Linked DNA regions of Arabidopsis thaliana. The protein of the gene in region 2 interacts with the protein of the main gene of each other region in a biochemical or structural test. Each region holds a gene or a part of one and is shown on either strand. Other genes may lie near its edges.

Region 1 (3,775 bases), on a different chromosome or scaffold from region 2:
CTTGGATGGCTGCAAATTTTCAACATCGTACTGCTTCATAAACGATATCAAATACGTGGAACTTAATTGTTGGTTAATAGAGGATAAGAAATGGGGTTCACAGAATTAAATTCACGCACACTTCATATATCTTGTTCCCTCCCAATTATCTGAACTATCTTCTTTTATCAAAAACTATATTCACAGGCTGCCGTGTACCTTCTCCATCCAAAGATGGCAACTATAGCTACTGGTCTTAACATTGCAACCCAGCGTGTCTTCGTCACCAGCGAGAATCGGCCAGTTTGTCTCGCCGGTCCGGTCCATTTGAACAATTCGTGGAATCTTGGGTCAAGAACAACTAACCGGATGATGAAACTTCAGCCGATTAAAGCAGCACCGGAAGGAGGGATATCGGACGTAGTGGAGAAAAGCATTAAGGAAGCTCAGGAGACTTGTGCGGGCGATCCTGTGAGTGGAGAGTGTGTAGCTGCGTGGGACGAGGTTGAAGAACTTAGCGCAGCAGCTAGCCATGCTAGAGACAAGAAGAAGGCTGATGGTTCGGACCCTTTGGAGGAATACTGCAAAGACAATCCTGAGACCAACGAGTGCCGTACTTACGACAACTGAAGCGATCAAGATCCTGTTCCGGATTCATACGTATACGACAAATCTTTGTTCCGGTCCATTTGGTAATGTCAGGTTATATAAATCATGTCTTTGAATCTGAATTAGCTCTAAAAACATTTGTAATTTGTAGTTCCATAAACGAATACAAAAGCCAAAATTTCATAACAGGTAATGCGCAGCGAATAATAAGAAAGCTTGAATTCAATAAGAAACACATTAGACACCAATTACATGAGACACAAGACTAGAGGACTGAGGCTACAAAACCATACAAAGACACGAACAAATTGAAATTGCATAAAGATTGCGTTGTCCATTGACAACACAAGACTCAATTCACCAATGACACACTAATTGTTACAACAAGGACAGTAAGTAAAACAGACCAAAGACTCGAACTCAATGCTTCATTTTTGATCCTTCAGATATGAATCATCCATCTTCAGCAATCAAACATATCAGCAGAAGCTCTGATTGGTTGCATTGGACAAGGCATCTGCCAAGGGTTCTGCATAGATTCAGGAATCTCAGGAATATCCAAAGCCTGACCACTAATTTCTTCAACCATCTCAAGCACAGAGTTCAATGATCTCAACCTATCCGTCAACTCCGAAGCCTGTGCCCTCAAGACATTGTTCTTAGACTCCATTTCAATGTATTTCTTTGAAGCTTCATCAACCTGCTCAGTGATTTTAGCGTTATCATTCTTGAGAAGAGTGACTTCGTTGATCAAATCACCAAGTTGCTTCTGTTTCCTCATCCTTGACCTCCGAGCAGATTCTCTGTTAGAGATCATTCTCTTCCTCTTCCTCTCATCCGTCACCGTGGCGTACCTCGGATCATTATCGGATTCAGGACTTGTTTGCATTTGCAACGACCCCATTTCTCGTTGACTTTTTGACTTCTTCTCACCAAAATTAAAATCAATATAATATTATTCTTCTTCTTCTAGAGATATTTTCCTATAAAAACCTCTCAAAAACACAATCTGAAAATCCCCGATTTCTAAATCTATCAAAGAATAAGTTAGATCAAAAACGAAAACTGAGATCGAGAACGATTACTTCATGAGAAAACGTAGGTGTAGTAGAGGTAAACGACGGAGAAAGAGTGTAGAATTCGAATCCGACGAAACAGGATTGAGTAGCTCATAGATTCATTCCTAATTTTGTTTTTTTTTCAAAATTCCCAAAAACCAAACCCTAGATCAAAACAAGCCTCTAAGCCAAATTTCCGATGAGAAAGAAAAAAACCTAGATCTAGATCTAGATCTGAGTGACAGAAGAGAAGGAAACGAATCAAAGAAAGGAGATGAATTATCTGAGAAACAAGAATTGTGGCTGAATCGAGAAGATTGATAAACGAAAAAAAGCTTATGATAGGATCAAAGGCCAAACGAAAGAAGGCGATAAAGTAACACCAAGCTTATCCTTTTAAAGGAGAAGATGGTGATGAGCTGTCCTAAGCCTTTTTCTTTATTTTTACAATATTTTAATAAAGGAAGATAATTAACTTTTGGTCATAAATCTTTTTATTTTGTTTTTTTTTAAAACGCAACTGGGGGAAACTGACGCCAGCTGTGACGCCGCCAGCTGGAATTTTATAAGGGAAGCACGTTTTGTTGAGGGAAGTTTCTCCGTCTGTTCACGGATGGAATATTCCACCAAGATGCCTCCTCAGAAAATATCAAATATTATTGCCAAGTGTTAATTAACTGAATATTATATATTTCTGAATTTGAAAATTTCCTCACGAAAGCAACGTCTAACACACAATTCATAAGCGTAATTATAAAACGACCATTAACTATAACGAAAGTCTACCAGATTGTTGTTTATATGCGGCTCTCTTTGGTTAAAACTTAAATGATGACGTGACGATTACATCATTTTATTGACACGATTTTAAATTACAAAACACAAGACTGAGTTGGGAAGTTGGCTCGTGGGCTTTATAATAGCCTTAATTCAGCTGATGGGCTTAGCTCTCCCTTACACACTCGAAAAATCCAGTTAGAGATAAGAAAAACGCCAAGCTTATGTCAACAAAAGTTTGATCTTTTTAAGATTACTTCTCTCACAATCTTCACAAACTAGATTCTGAGCTTATGCAAAGATTTAAGAGTGTGATACAAAAACAAACTCAGTTCTCTCATGTCAATAAATGGGATATGTTAAGATTTTGTTCAAGAGGGCTTGATACGAAGTTTGCATTTAGATGAATTTCTCGGTAGCATTAGGAGATCCAACATGATCTGAATCTTTGTGTCAGCTCTTATTATTGGCTTAAGCTGAACTTCCAAAAGCTCAAGACTTGGCAATTTCTCTAACATGTGCTTTATTTGCACCATTTCTCCAACAGTTCTCATGTTGAGGCAACAAACACTTGTTTGTTCAAACAAACTTGACCTGGACTTTGCATTTGGATGAAGCTCTCGGAAGCATTAGGAGATCCGCCAAGATCTGCAGCTTTCTGTCAATCTTCTTTGTCTTAACATGAATTTCCAACAGCACCAGACACAGCAAATTCTCCAAGACATACTCTACTTGCTCCATTTCTTCAATCTCTCCACCGAACTCAGTTATCTTTAGGATCTCAATAGGGCAGGACAAAAGGAAAGAATACCCATCCAAGCATTCGCAAACAGAGTTTTCATCCCCATAGCCATGATAATGCAAAGCCTGCAAAAAGACCGGAATTTTGAGATTGAAGATTTTGTGAGTTTCAATTCTTTTGTTTGTCCAATGAACTTTTGGGGTTTTTGGTCACCTCAATGGTGAGAGTCTTTAGATTTGGAGATTTTTCAAGAAGAATACGCAGATCATCCCAACAGATAGCGTCATGAGTACTAACTGATAAATGAAACAGGTTCTCAAACACTGGGACTGCTTCCCTGAAGACCCAAAACAGCTGGAACAGAATTGAAAAAAAAAAAAAAACTAGTCAGTCATAACTTCAATAAACATTCTAATGTATAGAAAGATTTTTTATTTTAATATCTCAGTGGAGAGCACTTACGTGCATCGTGTCAACAGCTCCTAAGCGCAGAATCTGAACATTTTTCAACCCCTTGATCAGATTCCTAACATTGTAGGTATCCCCAATATAAAGAGAAGGAAGTTCTAGCTTAGCTTCCACAAGGGAGTTGAGCTTAACAACTGGATAG
Region 2 (4,731 bases):
TCGTCTTCCTTGCATCCGGTAATCAAGACGTTCATCCAAATACAAAGCATAAGTCCGAACAAAAGCAGAGTAATCCCACGAATCAGACTGACTCGCATCTCTGAAATCAGACATGTTAAGCAATCTCGTTCCTCGTCTCGTCGCGAAGAAGATCTCTTGCTCGTAGGCTCTATCTCCATCTGTTAGCAACCGTTGGATCAAAATCAAGGTTTTGAGAGCAACCGACCAGTTCTTGGTCTTGTTGAGCCGTCGCGAGAGAGTTGCCACACAAGCGCTTACGTAATTGCGTGAGTAAGAAGTTAGGCATAAAATCTCTCTAATGTACTTGTCCTCCGCTGGATAGTCATCATGTCGCGTCGCTTTCACGACAGCTATTTCGAGTTCCGTTAAAGAACTGCTTCGACCACCGACTTTGGCTAATCCTACGCTTGTTTGATCTTTCACGGCTCCTATGGCACGTTTTAGCTTACTTGAACCCATTTTGACTTACGTACGCCGTTAAACAGAGGAAGAGAGAGGAGAAAAAAATTGGAAGAACGACGACTTTTTTCTTTCACTTGTTTGTCGTCGTCTCTTTTTCTCCTCTGTTTTTTTTTTTTGTGTTTTCTGACGAGAAAATGTGAATGCTTGATCGATCTACCATGGAAATCGCCGAGGTTGTCGGAATTTAATGATAGGGGAAATTAGTAAAGCCATGTGAGCTATCTTTTTTAAAATTGGATAAAAACAGATATACACTCTGTTATTAGCTATAAATAGAAAGACGATTCTCAAATAAGAATCTTGTAATGTTATAAGACAGAGCTTATATATATATATAAGCCATGAGACTGTATTTTCACAAGATGTTTTCTCATGATTCGTAACTTAATAACACTTACAAATTACAGATGCATAGACATTAATATAGTGCGAAACCCGCTTCTTGTTTGATCAGTCCACGCATTTTTTCGGCCTGTAAAATGAGCAAAAAAAGGGGAGACAGGAATCTGATATGTATAAACAGGGATCATAGTACTTCAAATGGTTTTAAATTGTTCAATGGTCTTAAAAGAAAGAGCCATGTTTTAGCTTACCATGCTGAATCGTTCTGAGGTTCGGTATTCCAGCCATACGGGTTGGCGCTTGGAGTAACATGGTGATTTTGCCCATTTCTAATTCTCTGCAAGGGAGAGCTGGTTTGGGATGGAGGAGCAGCGAAATTGTTTCCGAGTCTTGGAGGTAGAATGGTTGGGATCCCGATGTTTTGGTTTGACATATGGTTTAGGTTTGAGTGTGGTTGATAAGCTGGAATAATGCTAGAAGAATCCATCCTGTTGTTACCAGTTATTGGCATTCTGTTGTTGTTGTTATGTCCACTTGATCTTCCGAGAAGCATCGGATTCATTCCTGTTACTCTCTTCACGGTTTCTTCCGCCATTTTCACCTTAACATAACATGGGAGTTACTAAAACTGTATACAAAAAAAGGGTAGTTCAGAAAAAGGAGAGGAGGATAATACTTAAGTCTTCTTACCTTAGCTCTTAATGTCTCAATGTCAGCCTTTAGTATTCTATTGCCAACAGCAGCCTCGTCATACTTGTGATTCATGTTGCTCAGTTGTTTAAGAAGTGATGAATGCTCACCTTTTAGATCATTAACCTATCAAAATACAAATTAGGTCTCATTAATATCCTTCAACACAAAAATGAGGTGTTGAGAGGATACAACACAAAACCTGTGTTTCGAGGTCACTTGTTTGCTCCTGCTTTCTCCTTCTAGATCGCCTAGCTGACTCACGATTTGACAGCATCCTACAAATATTAAAAGGAAGAACAAGGCTCTATAAATGTAATCTTCAAACGACAAGAAATTGGAGAAAAAGTAATGATTACCTTCTAGATTTTTTAACGTCCTCTGGCTTCAAGGAACCGGTGGTTTCATTCTCTTCATCAAGGTCCTCGTCATCAGAATATTCTCTCGACGATCCACTAGTAACCTGCTTCATTGATACACCAGTTTTTTTCACCTCAGCTGGTAAGGAAGAAGTAACACCAAGTTCTCCTGGGGTCATCAAAGAACCTACCACGATTAAAACTTACTATGTCTAAGACTCAGAAGAGATATCTGAAAGAGAAAGACGAGCGCTGAAATAATGATTTCCCATATATTGAACTAACCACCAGAACTCATCTCAATCCCAAGCTTATTGTTCTTCCAGAAAGCAGTTTAATTTCAATGAGAAAGTCAGTCACAAAAAGATTGAAACTTGACGGATAAAACTAGGCGCTTGATCCAACAAAAGTACCATTTTCTATTTCTAATTCCTTAACCTAGGCATCTAAATTAACAAACACAGAACAGAGAAACGAATCTGCAGGTTTATCATCGCTCATCTATCCTGGTGAAACTAAGAAGAGACTCTTACCTTGAGTAAGAGGACTGGATTGAACTGGTTGAAGTTGAGTTTCTGGAGAACTAGTCGAATCTTCAGGCTTCACAGACCCAACCTAAGAAGAGAACATCAGAGCTTCAGATTTAGATCAAAACGCACAAATTACACATATAGATAAGAAAAATAGAAGATTAACAACACACCCGAAGAGAAACAACAGTAGCGCACTCAGTCTCAAGCTTGTTCTTAAGAACACGACGATAATCATCGGAATCAACAATCACCGTCTTCGTCGTCATGGGAGCAGCACAATCCAAATTTCCCGAATCGCGATCACGAAATCGACTATCATCCTCGAAATCATTCTGTCCGGAAACAGAAGGAAGAGATTGCGCCGAAGAAACACCGACGATCGCGTTGTTGTTGTTACCAAGTGGCTCAGAGCTCACCGCCGACGAAGAAATCTCTTCGAGAAACATCTCGAAAGTCCATTCCGGTTGACTCTGGCTAACTTCATCCGCCGTAACAGGCTTAGAAGAGTCGGGATTGAGAGGAATCGGAGGAGTTTCCCAGAAAGGATCGGAGAAATCGTCAATGGAGAAGATACTGTTCATCGCTCGCTCTCTTTTTCACTTTCTGATTCTTCTTTTTTTGTCGGTACTTTGCCTATTTGCATTTAGGTCCACCCACACAAGTATATTCTCTTTTTTTATTACGTACAATAAAATAAACATTTTTTCTTACACATTTCTGTTTTATTTCTTTACAATATTCTTTGAATAGTTTTTATAATTTAAATATCTATTGTATAACGTCCACTAATGTTTACATGAAAAAACGTAACAGTTTTTGCAAACATTGTTATTTAATTATTCTTCAAAGTTTGATTTATTCAATGAACAACGAAGTTGACATAAAACATTAGATTATATTTTAATTTATAAAAAAATACTATATTATACTGGTCATTAAAAATTTATAAAATGTCACCAGAAGCTAAACAAATAAATCACTAAGCTATATTACAAATTTACAATAGACAAGCCTAAATTATAAAAAAAAAATATATGGAGTTTTTTAAAAATCTAAATTTACCACAAAAAGCTTCTAAAAATAATTAACGAACTAGATCATTTTTTCGCGCCATATGTAAATTTAAACAGTCATTTTCAATTTTCATATATATGGAATTTACTCTCTATTTCTTTTTGACCTTAACATAGTGTCACCAATACCACAAATCACCACTATGTAGGCTATATTACAATAGAGAACGAACCAAAAGAATACAAAAAAACAAACCATATATATATTTTTCAAGCAATCCCCAGTTTTAATTATTGCAAAATTACAAGAATCTACACACATTTTTTTTTTTTTTGTGAAAGGGCTAAGAATCTACACACATAAATATACACACACAAGAAAAAACTTCTAAAAATAGTAATACAAAATTATAATGCCAAAGCTTCTTTCTTTTTTACTAGTTCTGCTTATTCTCCAAAGCTAATTGGTCATTGTTGATCAGAACAGAATTACCACTCTCATCCTCTGATTCATTCACATTTGTCTTCCTCCGCGGTGACCTTCCCTGTTCTATTCCTCCTCCTCCTCCTCCAGAGTTTCTCCGATCATCTTTAGAGACCAAGTCCTCAGCTTCAAGCATATGAATGATATGACCCATTTTTGGCCTCTTTTGAGCATTAGGATCAACACATCTTAAAGCTACCAAAAGGGTACGCTTCAATGACCTTAACGACGGTTTATCAACCATCCTCGGATCCAAAACTCCTTCCGCATCTCGATTCGTCACCAATCTCTTCAACCATTCCACAAGATTCACTTCTCCCGGAGCCCGGCTATAATCCACAGGACTTCTCCCTGAAATAATCTCCATAACAAGAACACCGAAGCTATAAACATCGCTCCTCTCATTCAACATTCCGGTACTCGCGTATTCAGGAGCCACATACCCAAACGTACCCATCACACGAGTAGTCACATAGCTCATCTCCGAACCCAAGAGCTTAGCTAACCCAAAGTCAGAAACTTTCGAGTTCCATTGCTTGTCAAGCAAGATATTACTCGATTTAATATCTCGGTGAACAACTTTAGGCTCAAGACCTTCGTGTAAATACATTAACCCTTTGGCTGTTCCAAGAACAATGTTCATCCTAATCTCCCAAGTAAGAGGACTCTTAAACCCCAAACCACCACCATGAATCCATTGTTCTAAATTCCCATTATCAACATACTCGTAAACTAACATCCTATGAGCTCCTTCAACGCAATAACCAAGCAATCTCACCAGATTCTTGTGTCTTACGCGTCCAATAGCTTCGACTTCGACTTTAAAT

Evidence for each region.
Region 1: the proteins of BZO2H1 (region 2) and BZIP53 form a complex in vitro, tested with the Arabidopsis thaliana proteins (one study listed by BioGRID).

What each region holds. Positions count from the first base shown.
Region 1 is NC_003074.8:23,090,793-23,094,567, forward strand, and holds BZIP53 (basic region/leucine zipper motif 53), read right to left. Parts: upstream 2,059-3,775; 5' UTR 1,493-2,058; coding exon 1,052-1,492; 3' UTR 794-1,051; downstream 1-793. Other genes in the region: CP12-2 (CP12 domain-containing protein 2), read left to right, coding at 214-609; AT3G62430 (Protein with RNI-like/FBD-like domain), read right to left, coding at 3,003-3,290, 3,379-3,519, 3,628-3,775.
Region 2 is NC_003075.7:1,152,288-1,157,018, reverse strand, and holds BZO2H1 (bZIP transcription factor family protein), read right to left. Parts: upstream 3,066-4,731; 5' UTR 2,989-3,065; coding exon 2,578-2,988; intron 2,490-2,577; coding exon 2,408-2,489; intron 2,062-2,407; coding exon 1,875-2,061; intron 1,794-1,874; coding exon 1,718-1,793; intron 1,642-1,717; coding exon 1,516-1,641; intron 1,427-1,515; coding exon 1,077-1,426; coding exon of another isoform or gene 1,073-1,076; exon of another isoform or gene 956-1,072; coding exon 934-955; 3' UTR 663-933; downstream 1-662. Other genes in the region: AT4G02650 (ENTH/ANTH/VHS superfamily protein), read right to left, coding at 1-480; AT4G02630 (Protein kinase superfamily protein), read right to left, coding at 3,858-4,731. UniProt on the Arabidopsis thaliana protein: Transcription factor that binds to the C-box-like motif (5'-TGCTGACGTCA-3') and G-box-like motif (5'-CCACGTGGCC-3'), ABRE elements, of gene promoters. Binds to the 5'-ACGT-3' motif of seed storage protein (SSP) encoding gene promoters (e.g.